Linked DNA regions of Nothobranchius furzeri. Each later gene encodes a partner of the first gene's protein in a complex. Links are inferred from orthologs where the notes say so. Each region holds a gene or a part of one and is shown on either strand. Other genes may lie near its edges. The genes, in order: polr3d, polr3c, polr3f, crcp and polr3k.

Region 1 (3,963 bases):
GGTGTGAACGTTTTCTAAAAGTGGAAGAAAACAAAAACGTGTTAGGTTTTAGACAGTGTACAATAAAATCAGCTTCTGTTGCATCTTTAGTCATCACTTGTCCCTAGAAGCCACGAGTTTTTAACAAATGATTGGTTTTTTGTCTTGTCATTTTCGTATAGATTAATCTCAGTGATATAAATAAATAAATAAAAGACATAAATACTAAATTGAATGAACATTTTCCCCTTGATGCAAGTTGTTTGTTTTTAATAAACAGTTCAAACCCATAGAGTAAACAACCCGGTGTGTGAGCAAATGTCAAAGATGGAAGCAGCTCCCTTTTGGTAAACAGCTTGAGTAAACACTAAGCCAGTGTTGGGATCATAACTGATCCACAGCGTATTAATCGTCCTACGAGTATCAGGTAAGCTTTCTTTGTTCACATTATATTAGAAATAAAGAATTTTAAAGAGCATCATTATTTCTGATTATTATGGGTCACTGAATTTTTCATGCAGGCTGATCATGAAAAAGTCTTCTACACGATAGAAAATAGACAGTAAAACTCTAGGGTGTGAAAAGCCTGACAGATCTACGTCACACTGTCGCTTCACATTCATGGAGCTAGCCCCTATGTCCCAAGCCGTTGAGAACCTGCAGCTCCTGCCTGTGGACATGGAGAGCACGCTAAAGAGGATCAACCCCAACAAGGCCTCAGGACCAGGCAGGATCTCTGGTCATCTGCAGTCAGCTGGCGGGAGTTCTCTGCTTCCTGTTTAACTGCTCGCTAGCTGAGCACTCCATCCCCTCCATCTGGAAGTCCTCTATCATCTGCCCCGTGGCAAAGCAGAACAACCCAGGCATCAACAGCGACTTTGGACCTGTAGCTCTGACATCACTGATTGTGAAGACCTTTGAGAGGCTCGTAATGGCCCAGCTGCTGGTTGATGTGGGTGCATGTTTGGACCCAATGCAGTTTGCATACCAACCACACAGAGGGGTGGATGATGCTCTACTAACTATGCTGCATGAGACCCTCACCCACCTGGAACAGCCAAAGTCACATATCAACCTGGTCTTTGTGGATTTCTCTAGTGCATTCAACACAGTCCAGCCACATCTTATGGGATGTAAACTGCTGAACCTGAATGTTAACTCCCATCTCATCCTCTGGGTCCTCTCCTTTCTCACGAGGAGGGAGCAGAGGGTCAGGGTTAACGGCCATCACAGTACTGTCAGGTCACTCTCCACTGGTTCCCCACAAGGTTCAGTCATCTCTCCACTTCTGCTCATTTTATACACCAATGACTGCAGGAGCACAACCCCAGGAATCACTGTTATCCAATCTGAGGATAAATGTCCAAGTATCAGGAACTAAGACTCCAAAACCTGCTGTCTGAAGCGCAGCTGTGATGTGGGTAACTTCAGTTCCTGGTAATGGTGCACCAGTGTATTGTTTCCCCCTGACTTTCGACTTCCTACTATAAACCACTACAAATAACTATACTTTAATAAAAGACCTGGTGCAGTACCTTTTTTACTCCCCCCAGTGTGAGGTCTCTTGACCTCATGGAAGGGAGGCGACCTGGAGAGATTCCCGATGGTGGTCGGCGGCCCATCAGCAGTCCAACGTTACTGCTGCCTCCAGGAGTCGCCATTCGCTGATTACTGGTGTCACTTGAGTCAGCCATTTTGAACTAAATAAAGTAGGAGATACAAATCAACCTTTTTCACTTGGAATTATTTCTACTGGTATCTGTAGTCATCGTGGACACAACAAAGACTCTTTTTGTAGAAAATATCTAAAAATCACAGATATTTTTGTCTGCATTGGCACCTATTTCTAACGACATTCTGATGGATTTTGTAGCATTTAAAAGCAACATATGAATGCAGGTATTACATCTGGATGCACATCTACATCCACACTGGACTGTTGATGCTTTGCATCTGAGATCTACACATCCTTATCGTAAAAATATCTAATTACTATGTGCAGCCCTAAAATATTGTGTACTTTATATTATAATATTAAACATTGGGTTCAGACTGAAAACCAGTTCTCTCTTTTCTGGATTACAATGGGGATTATGCTAATTAAATGCATCTGTTTACATTCCTCTGTTGGTTTTACTGTTGATCTTATTGACGCTGTTTTAATCACGTTGCTTATATAGATGTTTTTTTAGCCATGGCCTGTGGCTTTTGTCTTTCAGCACCCCATCATTGGAAGCTGATGTGATATGAAGACATGCTAACGAATAGTGAAGGATTGATTTAACTTTATTGTTTAGCTGGGAACAAAAATTGTTTGCATTTATAAAAGTGGCACACAAGTACTTTCAACTTGTCGTTTTAGGCCTGTTTAGCTAAATATTTGGACACTACTAATGAAGGAGTTAACTAGTGCAGTGAAGTCATTTCAGCTGGGTCTCCAAATGACTTAACTTTCTTCACTTGCAGTCAGACTACTGGTTACCACTGAAAACTTTCCTACGGTTAAACTGGTTTTCGTTTCTCTTAATCTACCGTCCCACTACGAAAAAAATACTTAATTCCAGCTAGAAATGAACAAACCGCCAGCACGTGGACATAATGATACAGCACTAGTTCGCTAACCTTCATCATTAGAGAAGAAAAAGTGATATTTAAGCTTTTTCCAGATCCTTACCTGATTTCTTCTTCCGGGGTCTTTATTCTATGTTTATTCACGGTCTGCGAGTCATAATAAATGAACCTTAGCTAGTTGTGTTTCTGTTTCTGAGCCAGCTAGTTGTGTTTCTGTTTCTGAGCCACTGTGCTGCACGACGCCATGACACCTCTGCGTTGTTGTTCCGTTCGGAACGCGCATGCGCAGAATGAGGCGCATGGCCGCAGGCTGCAACGCGGGCGGGGCAACGCGTCTGGGTCACAGTAAAGGAAAGAATGAAAGGAGAAAGGACAGGCAGAAGAGAGAGCGTCAGTATGTCGCACAGTTATTCTCAAAGGAAGGTGGGTTTAGTTAGTGATTGGTTAAATTCAACCTGTTAGCTAGCTTTGATATCCACAATGAGAGGAACTATGTTTCATCTAATTATGGTAAATGGGTTGCTGTCCTTGTCCTTATAGAATCAGCAGCTGGTGATATGTCAGCAGGTGACTCCTCACAACCCAATGAACCTCACGAAGGTGAATGTAGCATGTTAGTTAGCAGCCTCATTTAAGGGGGTCTGTGGGAATCACTTAAGGCTCTCTTCTCTATCAGTACTATTACGAAGGAATATAAAAAGGCTATTTTTGGTGATAAACACATTGTTTTTCCACATAATGATAATTATATATATCAATCAGTAAAAATGTATAGATTGTTGTTGATGCTGGGCAGGTTGAAGCATTGTTATTTAGTCTGTTAATGTAACATAAATTACTGTGAGATTATTAATGTGAAGCACCTTTTTGAAGGCACCATACAAGAAAAAAAAACTCTTCATCTACTAAATACCTTGAAATGAAATGTTTTGAATCTGACTGAATTATGGGAGGTTTTACAAGATATAATTTGTTTATGTAGCTTTGAGAACACAAACCAAAAATCAGTCATTTCCAAATAAATCATCAGAGAACAAAAATGAAACAAAAGCTATTAATAATTGTAATAAATAAACGTAATATAACATTGAACACAATAAAATGACATCTAGTATTGATCGTTATCGAGCATTATTAATTATATCACTGTAAATAATAAATCTTGCTGTGTACAATCAAGGCTGAATATATTTTTAGCAGTTTTTTTGTTGAGAAAAATGGGTGTCTAGAGACTTATATAGGTTGTACCGTTATGAATCTTATAATGGTCTGCCTTAACAGCTGCCCCTTCACACAGTAACATCACCAAGGTCGGACGCTTGGTTCAGTATGTTTACATTCCAGGAGAAGAGACAGAAGAAGAGAAGAAGAACGCTTTTCATTGATTAATCAAAGTACTTTATTTGTGATAAG
Region 2 (4,146 bases), on another chromosome or scaffold:
TAAAACATTTTAGTCATCCAGGAGAATGAATAAGCGTTTTGTAGGCACGTTCAACTCTTTTTTTTTTTTTATTCACTCGTATTTTTAGTCCTGAAGAGGAAGCCTGACCTGATCCAGTTTACTGGCCACGGCACTGATGATCACCTGGTCTCTGAAGTGCTGATGAAACCGCGTAAAGTTCACCTGCCAGTAGATCCCCTCGTCACCATGAGTCTGCACAAAAACACCAACCGTGTGTGATGATGATAAAAGCAGAAACAGAGAAATGTTGGAATGAATAAATAGGTGAAAAAAGAGAGTTGTTCCCGACTTCTGGCTCCATTTTGGCTCTTTTTGCGCTCCTTTGCTCTTCTCCCTCCTCGGTGGCGAGCTGGCGCTTTCCCCGCCCGACGAGGGTCACATGAGGCACCTTATAGCACTCGGAGAAGCTCTCTGGGTTGGGCAGGGTGGAGCTGGAGGCGGCTGCAGTGGGATTGGGGCCGGCTTGAGTGCTGCTGGCTGTCATTCCTGCTCCGTCCAACGGAGGGCAGCGCTGCAGGAAATGCGTCTCCACCAGTTTAGAAAAGACAGACGACACTTCGCTGTAATCAACGCTCTGCCCATCTGTAAGAACAACATAGACACTTGATGTCACGTAATATAAATCCTACTGAAACCTGAAAAACATTCAAAATCAAATCCAGATTTTTGTCTTTTTAAAATCAGACGCTGACCCTCCATGTTCTGACTGAGGCGGTCAGCGACTGTCTTGACCGTGCCGCTCATCGTCATGTGACCCCTCTGAAGCAGCTCCTCAACGATCAGCTCTCCGGTGTCACCGTACAAGGTTTTAGAGGTGTAGATGTAACGTGGGTATCGCAGAATCCTCAGAATGCAATCGCAGCTTGCCTGATACTCTGGGGGGCTGCCGGGTCCCTTTCGACCAGAGATGAACGAACACGCTCCGTGATGCATAAGCACGCATAAAGACTTCTTTACCTTTAAAAACAAAGGCAAAAGCAGCATCTGTACTGTGTGATTAAAAATCATTTATAGTGTAAAACTGTCCAATAAATCAACTCTACTTATCTAAAATACATCACCACCAACAATTAGCTGCTAAGCAAATATATTCTCAGTATTAACCAGCAGAAAGAAGCTTGTCATTTGTACCAGGTCCGCTGAGACTCCAGTTTCATGAACAATGGCTCGTAAATGTTGGCCACCACTTCTGAGCAGGTGTGTTCCCACTTTCTCCACCACCTCCCCGAAATGCTCTCGCATCAGAAGACCACACAGTCGTACCTCCTGGGCTGTCATCTGCAAAAACATACAATATAAATAAGATCCACAAGTAAACGGGTCAGGGATGAGGTCCTGCCCCAAGTGGAGGAATTTAAGTATCTCGGGGTCTTGTTCACGAGTGAGGGAAAGCTGGAGCGTGAGATCGATAGGCAGATTGGTGCTGCGTCTGCAGTGATGCGGGCGTTGTACCGGTCTGTCGTGGTGAAGAGAGAGCTGAGTCGGAAGGCGAAGTTCTCGATTTACCGGTCGATCTACGTTCCTACCCTCACCTATGGTCATGAGCTTTGGGTAGTGACCGAAAGAACGAGATCACGGATACAAGCGGCCGAAATGAGTTTTCTCCAAAGAGTGGCTGGGCTCTCCCTTAGAGATAGGGTGAGAAGCTCGGTCATCCGGGAGGGGCTCGGAGTAGACCCGCTGTTCCTCCACATCGAGAGGAGCCAGTTGAGGTGGCTTGGGCATCTGGTCAGGATGCCTCCTGGACGCCTCCCTGGTGAGGTTTCCCGGGCACGTCCAACTGGGAGGAGGCCTAAAGGTAGACCCAGGACACGGTGGAGGGACTATGTCTCTCACCTGGCCAGGGAACGCCTTGGGATTCCCCCGGAGGAGCTGGCCCAAGTGGCTGGGGAGAGGGAAGTTTGGACCTCTCGACTTAGGCTACAGCCCCAGCCACCCGACTCCAGATAAGCGGATGAAAATGGATGGATGGAAGTAAACTGGTTTTATTTATGTTACAGGTTTTGTAGAAGAATTCCTGTATTTTATTGTAGATGAAGCAAAACAGTAAATTAGATGACATCACCTATATCACGATAATAAAACCCACGGAAGCAGCACCAGATTAGCAGAACATTTTATAAAAGATGCTTTTCATGAAACAGATTGAAAACAAAATAATCAGTGTAATATGAACCAACAGTTGATCAAAATAAACAAACTAATTAAATGACAAAATGACTGTACCAAGTTGTGAGGAAAGTACTGAATATTGTGTATGTGGTTGGCTTAAATAGGTAAATTAGTATGATTTATTATCAACATCTTAACAGAAATTAACCTATTGCAAGAATAAAGTCATTTTATTGTATTTTATAAATTATATTTACTTTTTTGACAGGACACTAAAACACTAGTACACTTAAAGCATCACAAATCAATCACTAGCATCTTTAAACTGTGATGTTTCGGTTAAAAAAACACTAAAGCACCATAAAACAAAAGACAACATGTAAACTTCATCTAATATTAAATGTTAATTATGTTTTAAGCGTCTCTGATTAATGTCCACACCAGTGAAGCTAAAGTTGTATTAAGTGGATTAGCTTACAAGCTACTAGCGGCTAGCTCACCTGAAAGTAAAGAATTAGGAAAAATAAATACACGTAACTTATTTTTTTCACGAACCTTTTATTGCAGATGGGTTTCGGAGCAAACGTAGCTGTTGCCTTCATGCATCGACTTTTTACACATGCGTCTCTTCCATCACAACACACAGACACTTCCGGTAAAAAAGACACTTCCGCTCTCTGGGTCTTCCCTCCAGGATTTGGCTGCAGTGCAGCGCCCCCTGTCGAGCTGGAGATCGTTTGGTTCAGGCAAGTTGTTGTAGCATATAATTAACCACATCCCATTTTTTTCATTTGGAATTTAAATAAAAAAAAATTTGTTCATGAATTGCATTTTTAGTTATCAGAATAAACAACTGAAATTTCAAGCGCTCGACGTGTTAATAAGTTAGACAAAAAGTAAGAGGTACACAATCACACTGGGTGAAGTCAGTATTCATCAGTAAACATCTGCAGTTCCTTCCATGTATTTCAAAAGGTATATTTCACCTATTCAAAATCAACATTTCAAGAATCTCAAATACCTTTCCCAAATGTTAGGACAAACAAATTCCCATAGAAATTTAGTTTCCGGTTTAAAAAATCTAAACGTACTTTGCTGTCGAACAACTTTTGTTAGAATAATAATTTGTTTCTCAAAACTGGAATTCCCACTAGAGAACAATGTGCAGATTTCAAGGTCTTGAATACCGTGGTAACTCTGAAATATTTTAAATTTTCATATGATTTACTGCTATCATAAAGACGTTTTTATTATTAAACGTTTTAAAACAACTTATAATCATTTTGGAGGATATGAAAATGCATATGATAAATATCAGAATTATCACTTATTATATGATGAACCGGCTTGCCATAAAGTGTCTTTTGGTTGTAAAGGACCAACGTCACTAGTTGTGCTGCTTGGGGAAGATGGCGGAGGCCGCGCCTGTTCCCCCGCATCGGTTTTTCTGTCACTGTTGTAAGGGAGAAGTAAATCCTAAACTCCCGGTAAGTCCGGTGTTTTTGGTTAGTCATGTGTGATATATTCCACATCGTGCGCGACTGACAACACCGCTGCTCGACCAATAGCAGTTAGTTTCGCCTGTCTGCTACAGCTAAACCGCCGCTAGCTTGTTAACAGCTAGCAACGGTTGTTGCTGTTAACTCTCTGAATTAAACGGTGCCTAATTTGTTTTTACTTGAGGTAAACGCTGGGTTATAAACTTGACACTGTCAAGTTTTGTTCTATTCGTGTGTCTACGCGTAATTGTGTCAAAACTCAGGGCCCGAAGCTTCAGGTTTCCCACTGTGAATGTGTTGTGAGCGTATTTTCCACCGAACAAGACCTGAACACGGATTGTCTGGACCATTAAAGCCAAGACGACATATTTAAAACTCAGCTGAGAGACAGTGGACTAGTTTTGTTTTCAGTGTTTGTTTCTGGTCAAATATACTGTTGGAATGACGAGTTCGGGGATTTTTCATGGACTTAATGTTTAGTTTCATTTGTGAAGTCAAAGCAGCACTAGGTGCA
Region 3 (2,672 bases), on another chromosome or scaffold:
CTTCGTCGCGCTCTCCCCTCTCTCTCTCTCTCTCTCTGTCTCTGTCTCTGTCTCTCTCTCTCTCTCTCTCTGTCTCTGTCTCTGTCTCTCTCTCTCTGTCTCTCTCTCTCTCTCTCTCTCTCTCACCTTTTTCCTCCTCCTCATTCCCTCTCGTCTCCCTCCACCTGCATGTGCTCTGCTGTGTGTCTGAGTCTGATCCTCCCTCTTCCCCGCCCCTACTGCTCTGTGTGTGGACAGTCTGGACACACAGTTACACATGCTGACCAATCGCCTGTAGCTTTCACCAAAGCAAGAGGGAAGGGGGGGGGGGGGGCACGGCTCCCAATGATGAGCCGGCTCTTAGGGCCGGTTCGTTCGCGACCGACACATCACTAGCTGGTACCATATGATGTCACAATGTTGTTGTGAGCCTGTGTGTGTGTGTATTAGTTAGCGGCTCCGCCCTCTCGGTCTGCTAGGCAACAGCATTTGTTGCATTTTTCAAACAGGAAGTGGGAGTGGAGTTAGACTCTGGTAGGGGGTGACTTGCTCTTTAAGTTAAACTAAATGAAGCCTTTTAATGATCTTGGCTTAGCAGCAGCATCATAGCAACAAACCTCTCATCCCCGAGACTGAACTTTGGGTATCCGTGGATGTGCCTGACTTTAAACCGGCCTGAAGGATCTCTCTCTCTCTCTCTCTCTCTCTCTCTCTCTCTCTCTCTCTCTCTCTCTCTCTCTCTCTCTCTCTCTCTCTCTCTCTCTCTCTCTCTCTCTCTCTCTCTCTCTCTCTCTCTCTCTCTCTCTCTCTCTCTCTCTCTCTCTCTCTCTCTCTCTCTCTCTCTCTCTCGTCGTCTTCACCTACTCCTTTGGGGTGAACTGAACTCAGTTATGGACCCTCTACAGCTCTGTGGTAGCGTCTGTTGTCCTTTTATGAGGTTTATTATGTTTGGTGGAAGTGTAGAGAGGGTCAAGGGGACATTAATCAAGCTGGTCAAGAGGGAAAGGGCAGTCCAGCACTGTCCCTTGAGGTGTGTGGAGCAGGTTTGAACCCCACCCCCAGACAGCGGGACAGACAGACAACTGAATTGTCCTCTTACTCTGTTTTTGTTATGAGAGCGCTGGAACAGCCGTGTGGTAATAAAAGTTTATTCAGGTCATTACGGACCACCAGAGGGCAGCAGAGATCTCCCTCCTGAAGGTCCACTGACCTGACCTCATGTCTCTGAGCTCAGTTCCTTAGTAAGGCATTATGGGATGTAAGGATCTTATCTTTTAAAAGAGGTCTTAAAGAAACGATGGAAGCTCTTTAACCGTGAAGCTTCAGCCAGCCTCCATCAATACTCCTTTGAGGTTCTTCTGGGTCATTTTGTTCTGTTGGGGAACCCTCCCGACGACAACAACTGTTGGACCAGAACCTGATAGTTCTGCCAAATGACCAAATGATCGGATCAGAACCCATCCTCTGGGTTGGTCTGGATGATGCTGTTCAGGAACAGGTGGGTTCTGGTCATGTGACCGTCGTGGTGTTCCGTGTGTTAAGGCTGACGCAGCGAGGGACAGCAATCAGAGCCCGATGGTTCAGCGGAACAGCTCCTTCGCCACCTCTCATGAAGTGTGGAAGTACATCTGCGAGCTTGGAATTAGTAAGGTGACTGCTAACGTCCACCAATCACACATCACGCTCGCTGTAGTCCGTGTGTCTGACAGGTGTGTGTCCAGGTGGATCTGTCCATGGACGACATCGAGACCATTCTGAACACGCTCATCTATGACGGGAAGGTGGAGATGACCGTGATTGCCGCCAAGGAGGGGACGGTGGGCAGCGTGGACGGGCAGATGAAGCTGTACAGGGGCGTGAACCCCATCCTGCAGCCCACCGGCCTCGTCAAGACGCCCTGCGGACTCTGCCCGGTAACCACACTCATTAACATGGCTGCATCCTGCTCGTGGACGCGCCTGAACTCACCTGATCCTGTCTGCAGGTGTTTGATGACTGTCATGAGGGAGGGGAAATCTCTCCGTCCAGCTGCATCTACATGACCGAGTGGTTGGACTTCTGATGGCTATTCGGCCCACTTCTTTTCTCTGTGAGGAAACTTCATTCAGCCTGCTGTGATCCACAGTTTTTCTTTTTTTTATTTATCAGTCTTAATAAAGCAGCTCGTGTGAACCGTTTGATGCTGAGATGAGTTATTGTTCAGTCTGGTGTAAAATCTGCAGGAATCTTGGACTGTCTCTCTGACAAATGAAGATGGATGAAATCCCACCATCTCCAACTCCACCTCTCTAAAACTGAACTACTTGTCATCCCAGTGAAACCATCCATACAGCACAATATCTCAATCCAAAATCTATATCTGGCGCCTTCAAAGGCAGTTCGAAATCTGGGTGTTGTGATTGATGAACACCTGACCTTTAAAGATCATGTTGCCTCTGTTGCTCGTTCATGCCGCTTTGTGCTGTATAACATACGAAAGATCAGACCATACCTAACACAACATGCCACCCAGCTCCTGGTGCAATCTACCGTCATCTCCCGCCTCCATTACTGCAACGCCCTTCTAACTGGTCTTCCAGGCTGCACTGTGAGACCTCTTCAAATGGTCCAGAACGCAGCGGCGCGTCTGGTCTTCAATCAGCCTAAAAGAGCACACGTCACCCCTCTGTTCATTGAGCTCCACTGGCTACCGC
Region 4 (4,278 bases), on another chromosome or scaffold:
TAACAAGCTTTGCCAAGAGGACCAAAAGGGAGGCAAAGAAATGGGCCCAAAAGAGGATGAGAGAAACATGGGAGGAAAAGCCAATGCATGGACAATACCCCTTGAGAGTAAAAAAAAGCAGACGTAGAACAAGATCATATCAGTGGCTACGCAGTGCAGGACTGAAGGCAGAAACTGAAGGATTGTTGATAGCAGCACAAGACCAGAGCCTGTCAACGAGATCATACCACCACAAGATCATGAAAGATGGAACAGACCCAATGGGGGGGGGGGGGGGGGGGGGATCTCTGCTGCTTGCTGCCACAAGGACATAAGAGTGCAGCAAAAACCTCATGTTTGTATGGGGAGGACAAAAGTCTCAAAAGATCTGTATGTGTGTATCTAGATTTGTTTATGTGTATCTAGATTTGTGTGTGTTTATCTACATTTGTGTGTGCGTAACTAAAGATTTTTGTGTGTGTAACTCTTGATTTGTAACTTGTGTTTATATTTTTGTGTGTAAATTCAGTTCTTACACATACAATCATTGAACACACACACACACAAATCACCTGGTACACACGGACAAGTCTACAGGACACACAGATCAGTTTACAAGTACAAAAATTATTAGTCAATTTAGGGTTGGGCATCGAGCATCGATTGGAACGGGGACCAACTGTTAGTTTTTCCCGGAATCGTTCAAATTTTTTTATTTAGATTCCAAGTTTCGATTCCTAGAATGCCGACGGAAGAGGAATCCGCAGCTGATCTCCGTGAAAAATAAACGTGATCTACCAACGCTTTTCAGATCTGATCACACCAGCTTTCTGTGTGCAGTACCGAGTCCCCCCTCCCCCCACCTGGCGCGCAGCGGCCAAATATAAACAAACGTGTCCGCCGAACTTTTACTCCGTAATGTAAACTTTAACTCCTGCAGCGTAGAGGAAACGTGTTAAAATCATCAACACGGTGGATTTAATAGAAGCTTTAAAGAACAAACTCTGGACGGCGTGAGGTGAGTTTGTCTCACTGCAAAAATAAAAACACACACGGAGCGTCAGCAGTCAGACGCAGCCGCTCACCAACACTCGTGTGTGTGCGTGCGCATCAGAAGGCTGAACAATAACCTGTAGAATAAAGTCTTCATGTTAGAGAAGCTTCTCAGTGGTGGACCACACCAGCTTCTGCCACAATAAATACTCATGATAATACTAATAAATCACACACAAAGTTGTGAACATTTTAATTTCCTTTCTGAACTATTTCTGTTGAGTATTTTAATGTTTAAAATCTGTTAGATTAGGAAATCTGGCTCAGCTCCCTCTTCACCACGACAGATCGGCTCACTGCAGACGCCGAACCAATCCGCCTGTCGATCACACACACACACACACACACACACACACACACACACACACACACACACACACACACACACACACACACACACACACACACACACACACACACACACACACACACACACAAGCAGACCTTTCGAGACTTTTTTCTCCCCTCACATTTGTGTCGGCGGAACCTTTATCCATGCTCTCCGTTTCCCCACGGAAGGTGTAACAACGTACCGCAGTTCCGGGCGCATAAATGGAAGTGTAAGGATTTCATTTTTACCTTTCATTTAGTTTATTTTAGCAAGAGACTTTGCTAAGTAGCTGTTGTGAATTGTGTTTTTAACAACAACTATAAGCCGTAGTTTTCAGTTTTTGGTTTATTATTGATGGATGAAAGCGAACAGAGCTAGCGAAACAGCAGAGACACATTTTCAGTTCGGTCTGGGACGAAAAACTGTTCATCCTAGCTTATTAAAATTTAAAAACAAAAAACGAGTCAGTATTAACCATTAAAGCCAAACAACACGGTCCTTTTGTTATGACTGAAGACTTTTTTTCTAAAGTCTTTTTAATTCTTTTAAATGAAACTTTTAGCTGATTTTTATTTATTTATTTTTACTAAACGATTCGTAAATGGTCAGAATAATATTTTACTCTCGACTGCATTTTTATAGGTTTAATTTCTTAACCCACATGGAGACAAAAAACGCATTAATCATCTTAACTGTTCATTCCTCTATATTCCGAGTTGATGGTGGACAGGGGACAGCTCTCTAGTCCATCACAGAGACACATGCACTCACTCACAGGTAGAGACAACTTAGAGTCAACAGTTAACCTGAGATGCATGCGTTTGGTCTGTGGGAGGAAACAGAGTATCCATACAGAGAAAACACGCATGCAGTGGAGAACTCCACAAAGGCTGCAGCTGGAATTCGAACCTGCAACCTTTTCGCTGTGAGGCAGCAGCACCAGCTCCTCCCTTCCATGCAGCTCATAACAACTACATCAATTCAAAACTTTCAACTTTTTGTGTTTTCAGCAAAAATTCAAGTGCTGCAATGCTCAGCAACTATGAGGTAATATAGTCGGTTTACCCTCGCATGACGTGTTATTCACTGTTCAGTCAAACAGATCAGTTTGTAACTTTTACTTTCTTTTTTTTTACTGCTCAGGTGTTCAAACTTCTCATAGATCTGAAGGAACAGAGGAAAGATGGGGGGAAGAGCAAACACAGTGCCGGGCAGCAGAACCTCAACACTATCATGTATGAGGTCAGGTCACATCTCTCTTCCTGCATTTATATAAATGTTTTGGTCATATTTATTACAAACATAATCTCCTGTGGGTTCGCCATCAGACACTTAAGTACCTGTCGAAGACGCCGTCCAGCAGACAAAGTCCTGAGATTGTCAAGGAGTTCCTCACCACCATGATGCCCCACAAACTCACAAAGTCAGTGAGATCTAATAAACATTTTATTTTGATTTAGTTGTGTTGATACGATGGACATTGTCTTAACATTTAGCCTTTTTCTGTTAATCTGATTTGTTTTTGTCATCATCAGGGCAGAAAAACTTCAGCTGTTGAACCACCGACCTCAAACTGCAGTAGAAATTCAGCTAGTGAGTCTCGTTAAATTTGTTAAAATTTGTGCAAAACGCAACCCAACCTACCAGGCTACCAGTAATAACCGGTGAAATCCACAGTAGCTCTGCCTGCCAGCTCTGCAGTTTCTTTAATCTTTGATTGAGAAATATTAAATAGCATTCAGACCTAGACTGAGTAAAAAATAAACACACACTGTGGAAATTAAATGTTTTTGTTGAATCAAGACACCCAAAACAGAATTTAAACTTTAAAAATGTATCGCAACACAAGGAAAATATTATTTTTTTAATTTTAATCACGCTAAGAGTTTGGTGCGTGGCATTTGAACTAGCTGCTATTTTATCCTTTGTTAATTATAAAAAAGTGGTTCTTTTAAAGGTGTGGAACACTTTTAGTGAATATTTCTGATTATAATCGGTCTCTGAGTTTTTCATGCAGGCTGAACATGAAAATAGTCTCCTACGTCTATCTGCTGCATTAGCTTCGGATGGAAAATAGACGGTGAAACTCTAGGATTAGAAAAGCCTGACAGATCTAAGTCACACTGTCACTTAACATTAATGGACTCACTCATCTTGATTCATGACGGAGAAGGCTGTTGTTGGCTTAGCGTCCAGGAAACGGCAGAGAATGTCTCAGCTAGTAGAAGCTAACCATTAGCAACTCCACCACACAGCAAAAGCTCCTCCAGGCTTGTGTTACTTGTGGAGATGATAATCAGTGGTAGAGTCGCATTGCTGTTGTAGTGTATCGATAGTTACATCTCTTACGTAGGAAACCATCAAAGGTGAGATTCCTTAGAAAATATGGAATCAATTTGATGTATCTTTGAATACTACCTTTAATCAGAAGATATGAACTTTTTATTGCAGGGATTAGGTAATAATTTGTAATAACCCAGAGTCAAAGAGAGAGACAAGTTTTAAAGTTTAAGAAGATTTATTTCTAAACAATTTAAAACAAGGCTAACTCTAACTTTAACTCTAAAGCTTGGTTTATGCTTGACGCATTCACTTTCCGCTTGGTGATGCGGCTCGCGGATGGAACGCGCTTCACAACTCGCAGCGTTTATGGTTCGTGCGGCTTGTCTCTGCGGTGAGCCAATATTCTCCCAAACTGAACGGGGCAACATGGAGCTCTACGGCATGCATCTAACACTACACCATAGTAGAAGTAAAAATTACTATTTACAACATGGCATTTCAGCATTTTTAACAGCGTCCTCGTCTTTTCTGACAGTGCGAGCTATTTCTCTCCAAGAATGATTAACAACATGTTGATCACGGTGATCTTTGAGAGCTAAATCATACAAATGTCTGTATTTACGAACCTCTGC
Region 5 (2,949 bases), on another chromosome or scaffold:
AGCTTTAACATACAAGCAAGAAGAGACATCAGCAAGGACTTTGGGGAGATAATTTTGTCTTTGCTCTAATAAAAACTGTAATATGCAGTGATCTGCTGTTTTTACTCCATTGGAAGCTTGCAAATTGATTCATAAACACTTTGTAGTGCAAATGGGATCCATTTGAGTTTTAATAGGTATCTAAATAGACTGTTTGGAAATTGCAGGTGAGGTGTGTGTCCAAACTTTTGACTAAAGTAACAAAAGCTGCACAATGTATCACAAAACATCATCACTGTGACTGCTTCAGTGGCACACAAAAACAGCTTGATTCACAGTAGATGGGGACATGTTCATGTGACTGAATCTCCTTAATGCTATTGCTGAAAACACACCAGTGGTGAGTGATGTGTGGTAACAGAGTGAGGAAAATGAGGATTTAGCACAACTGTTATCGTCATCGCAATACCCAACGATATTGTAACAGTGTGATTTACTAAATCCTACAAAAGTATAATCCTGGCCCAAATATCTTCTACAATCGTCATTGGACTTTAAAAATAAAATAGACCAGCTCCAATGAGTGAATCTCAAATAAAGGTGACAACACACGTTTTCCTTCAGAGTAACTGAGGGCACTCAGAAATAACACCTGGATTGGCAGGTCGCAGAGTAAAGGGTCCTGCACAAGTCGAGCAAGTCCTTCTTCAAAAATATCCAGGATCTCAGAGTGAGGGAGAGAATCTTCATCGTCCTCCTCCTCAGCAGCTGCCTCGTTTAGGAAGCTCTCCTTTTTCACCTCCTCATCCTGCACTAGTTGCGCTCCTTCACCTCCTTTGACTACAGCAGAACCTGGACTCTGCTCCTCCTCCATCCGATAATCATCCAGCTATTGGGTACCTTCCGGGTTTCCTGCTAGAAAACGTCGTCTGGATACAATTTACCTGGACAACAATTACAGGTTTACTTCAAAACTGCTGCTAAAAAAGAAGAATTAGAACAGCAAAAGCCCGTATGTAACTGTGTGCAGTACAAACAAACTACCGGAACGGAAATGGACCTTATGTAAAAGGTTCCACTTGATGAAAATAAAAATGAACAGCTGCGTTAACATTTGATAAATACGTATTCTTATCATAAATTAATAACATTCATTTTAATATAGAATTGTTTACATACAATTAGGCATGTTGTTTAAACGATTAGCGACTTCCGGTTGTTTCCGTTCGAGCTGTTTTCATCAGTCGACTTCCGGTTTTCTCTACGCAGCAGATGGTTTCTGGTGAAATCACATTTAGATTCCATTTAGTTGATGGTTTGCGACCAAATTGATTACATTTAAAATGCTACTCTTTTGCCCTACCTGTGGAAACGTTTTGATCGTAGAAGAAGGACAGAAGTGTATGAGGTTCGCGTGTAACACCTGTCCTTACATACACAACATCACAAGAAAGGTAGGAGTCACCCGTAACTAAACCAGGTTTCATCATCTAGTTGGTGTCAGAAACACAAAATATTTGTCGTTAGGTTTGTAAGTTTAAGGTCTTGTTTTATTTCTCTTGAAGGTAAACAACCGAAAGTATCCCAAATTAAAGGAGGTGGATGATGTTCTCGGTGGGGCTGCTGCGTGGGAGAACGTGGATTCAACTGCAGGTAAATAACATTAAAATGACTTCCTGGAGTCTGCATACAAATGTTTAGCATATTCTTTAGTTTTAGTTAAGTAATTAAAGTGTTTTAACGCCTAAAATGAGAAAAGTGTACTTCCAATTTTCAATTATACAAACGGATTAATCCAGGATTTTCAGTTTTTCTTTTTGTTCAAGCCAAACCATTCAACAATCCTGATATCCTGTATCTTTATTTAGGTCATAGTAGAATTGGCTAGATGCTTAATAAACTATTATTTATCTCCTTAAAACAATTCATGATCCTTAAACAGGATTAGTGATTTCTTAAGATTAACATTCTTAAACTAAAACCTGGACATACCAGAGGTATTTGGGGTATAAGATGGTACATACCGGTGTGGCCTCTAAGCTGACATATTCCTTCTCTATCTCTGTACAGAAAAATGTCCCAAGTGTGAGCATCCTCGGGCGTATTTCATGCAGATTCAGACCAGATCTGCTGATGAACCCATGACAACTTTCTACAAATGCTGTAATGCCCAGTGTGGACATCGATGGAGAGACTGAAAGTTTTCTACTTGTAGTTATTTCAAATGTTCAGATGATTTCTGGCCTGGTTTTCCTTTTCTTCTGTATTTATTTGCACCATTTACTTTCCAGTTGTGATAAATGTTCCACATGACAAAGTGTTTACTTCATGATTTTTATTGGTAAAATAGCGCCTGTGTACAGTCACATAAATTGCGTACATAGTTGTACATCAGACATCTGGAGCGATGCAGACCAGCAGTTTTCACAACATGACTAAAGTTCCATTACAATCCTTCACAAAATGTGTTTTTTTGTTTTATATTTTGCACAGATTTTTCAGTCTTGAGGAAAAAAATATGCACAGAGTCGGAGCACATCAATGATTATTACTAAAGGTATAGCCCAGGCAAACTGCGAGAAGCATTAGTGGCTGATGTATCCCACATGCTGAGATGATTCACTGTTAGTGTTCAGAATCACTTTTGCAAAAGGTCTAATTCAACAACTTCATGAAGCTCATTAAAATCTCACTAATCAAATGTATTTCATTTCATCTAAGCGAAGAACCTTCATTTAGGTGAATCCTTAATGGCTTAGTACTCAGTTTTTAAAACCTCTTAAGATCAGCTAAATCTGAAATGGTGCTGCATGAGCCTGACAGAAAAACACACACCAAGATGTCATGCTTTCGTTTTTAAGTGATTAGCTTGTCTATCGCCTTCAGTACACTTGTGGACCATTCCCATCTGTACCGGGTCGGCCCGGGCCGGGTAGCGTAGGTTGTTTACATATCTGGGTGGCCTGGTAT

Evidence for each region.
Region 2: polr3d (region 1) and polr3c share a complex: the UniProt entries of both Homo sapiens proteins name them as parts of the RNA polymerase III complex. The link is inferred for Nothobranchius furzeri from reciprocal best matches to the Homo sapiens genes POLR3D and POLR3C.
Region 3: polr3d (region 1) and polr3f share a complex: the UniProt entries of both Homo sapiens proteins name them as parts of the RNA polymerase III complex. The link is inferred for Nothobranchius furzeri from reciprocal best matches to the Homo sapiens genes POLR3D and POLR3F.
Region 4: polr3d (region 1) and crcp share a complex: the UniProt entries of both Homo sapiens proteins name them as parts of the RNA polymerase III complex. The link is inferred for Nothobranchius furzeri from reciprocal best matches to the Homo sapiens genes POLR3D and CRCP.
Region 5: polr3d (region 1) and polr3k share a complex: the UniProt entries of both Homo sapiens proteins name them as parts of the RNA polymerase III complex. The link is inferred for Nothobranchius furzeri from reciprocal best matches to the Homo sapiens genes POLR3D and POLR3K.

Annotation. Positions count from the first base shown.
Region 1 is NC_091757.1:39,754,722-39,758,684, reverse strand, and holds the start of polr3d (DNA-directed RNA polymerase III subunit RPC4), read right to left. Parts: upstream 2,810-3,963; 5' UTR 2,654-2,809; intron 1,680-2,653; 5' UTR 1,674-1,679; coding exon 1,515-1,673; intron 15-1,514; coding exon 1-14. UniProt on the Homo sapiens protein: DNA-dependent RNA polymerase catalyzes the transcription of DNA into RNA using the four ribonucleoside triphosphates as substrates.
Region 2 is NC_091745.1:77,811,040-77,815,185, forward strand, and holds the start of polr3c (DNA-directed RNA polymerase III subunit RPC3), read right to left. Parts: upstream 2,817-4,146; 5' UTR 2,689-2,816; intron 1,300-2,688; coding exon 1,153-1,299; intron 979-1,152; coding exon 714-978; intron 604-713; coding exon 311-603; intron 214-310; coding exon 109-213; intron 1-108. Other genes in the region: rnf115a (E3 ubiquitin-protein ligase RNF115), read left to right, coding at 3,543-3,620. UniProt on the Homo sapiens protein: DNA-dependent RNA polymerase catalyzes the transcription of DNA into RNA using the four ribonucleoside triphosphates as substrates.
Region 3 is NC_091746.1:29,572,793-29,575,464, reverse strand, and holds the end of polr3f (DNA-directed RNA polymerase III subunit RPC6), read left to right. Parts: intron 1-1,521; coding exon 1,522-1,629; intron 1,630-1,700; coding exon 1,701-1,892; intron 1,893-1,963; coding exon 1,964-2,041; 3' UTR 2,042-2,156; downstream 2,157-2,672. UniProt on the Homo sapiens protein: DNA-dependent RNA polymerase catalyzes the transcription of DNA into RNA using the four ribonucleoside triphosphates as substrates.
Region 4 is NC_091750.1:56,809,985-56,814,262, reverse strand, and holds the start of crcp (DNA-directed RNA polymerase III subunit RPC9), read left to right. Parts: upstream 1-1,469; 5' UTR 1,470-1,584; coding exon 1,585-1,592; intron 1,593-2,373; coding exon 2,374-2,410; intron 2,411-2,506; coding exon 2,507-2,605; intron 2,606-2,691; coding exon 2,692-2,786; intron 2,787-2,898; coding exon 2,899-2,956; intron 2,957-4,278. UniProt on the Homo sapiens protein: DNA-dependent RNA polymerase catalyzes the transcription of DNA into RNA using the four ribonucleoside triphosphates as substrates.
Region 5 is NC_091745.1:3,876,685-3,879,633, reverse strand, and holds polr3k (DNA-directed RNA polymerase III subunit RPC10), read left to right. Parts: upstream 1-1,179; 5' UTR 1,180-1,322; coding exon 1,323-1,433; intron 1,434-1,544; coding exon 1,545-1,632; intron 1,633-2,049; coding exon 2,050-2,177; 3' UTR 2,178-2,447; downstream 2,448-2,949. Other genes in the region: snrnp25 (U11/U12 small nuclear ribonucleoprotein 25 kDa protein), read right to left, coding at 632-853. UniProt on the Homo sapiens protein: Core component of RNA polymerase III (Pol III) which synthesizes small non-coding RNAs using the four ribonucleoside triphosphates as substrates. Can mediate Pol I proofreading of the nascent RNA transcript.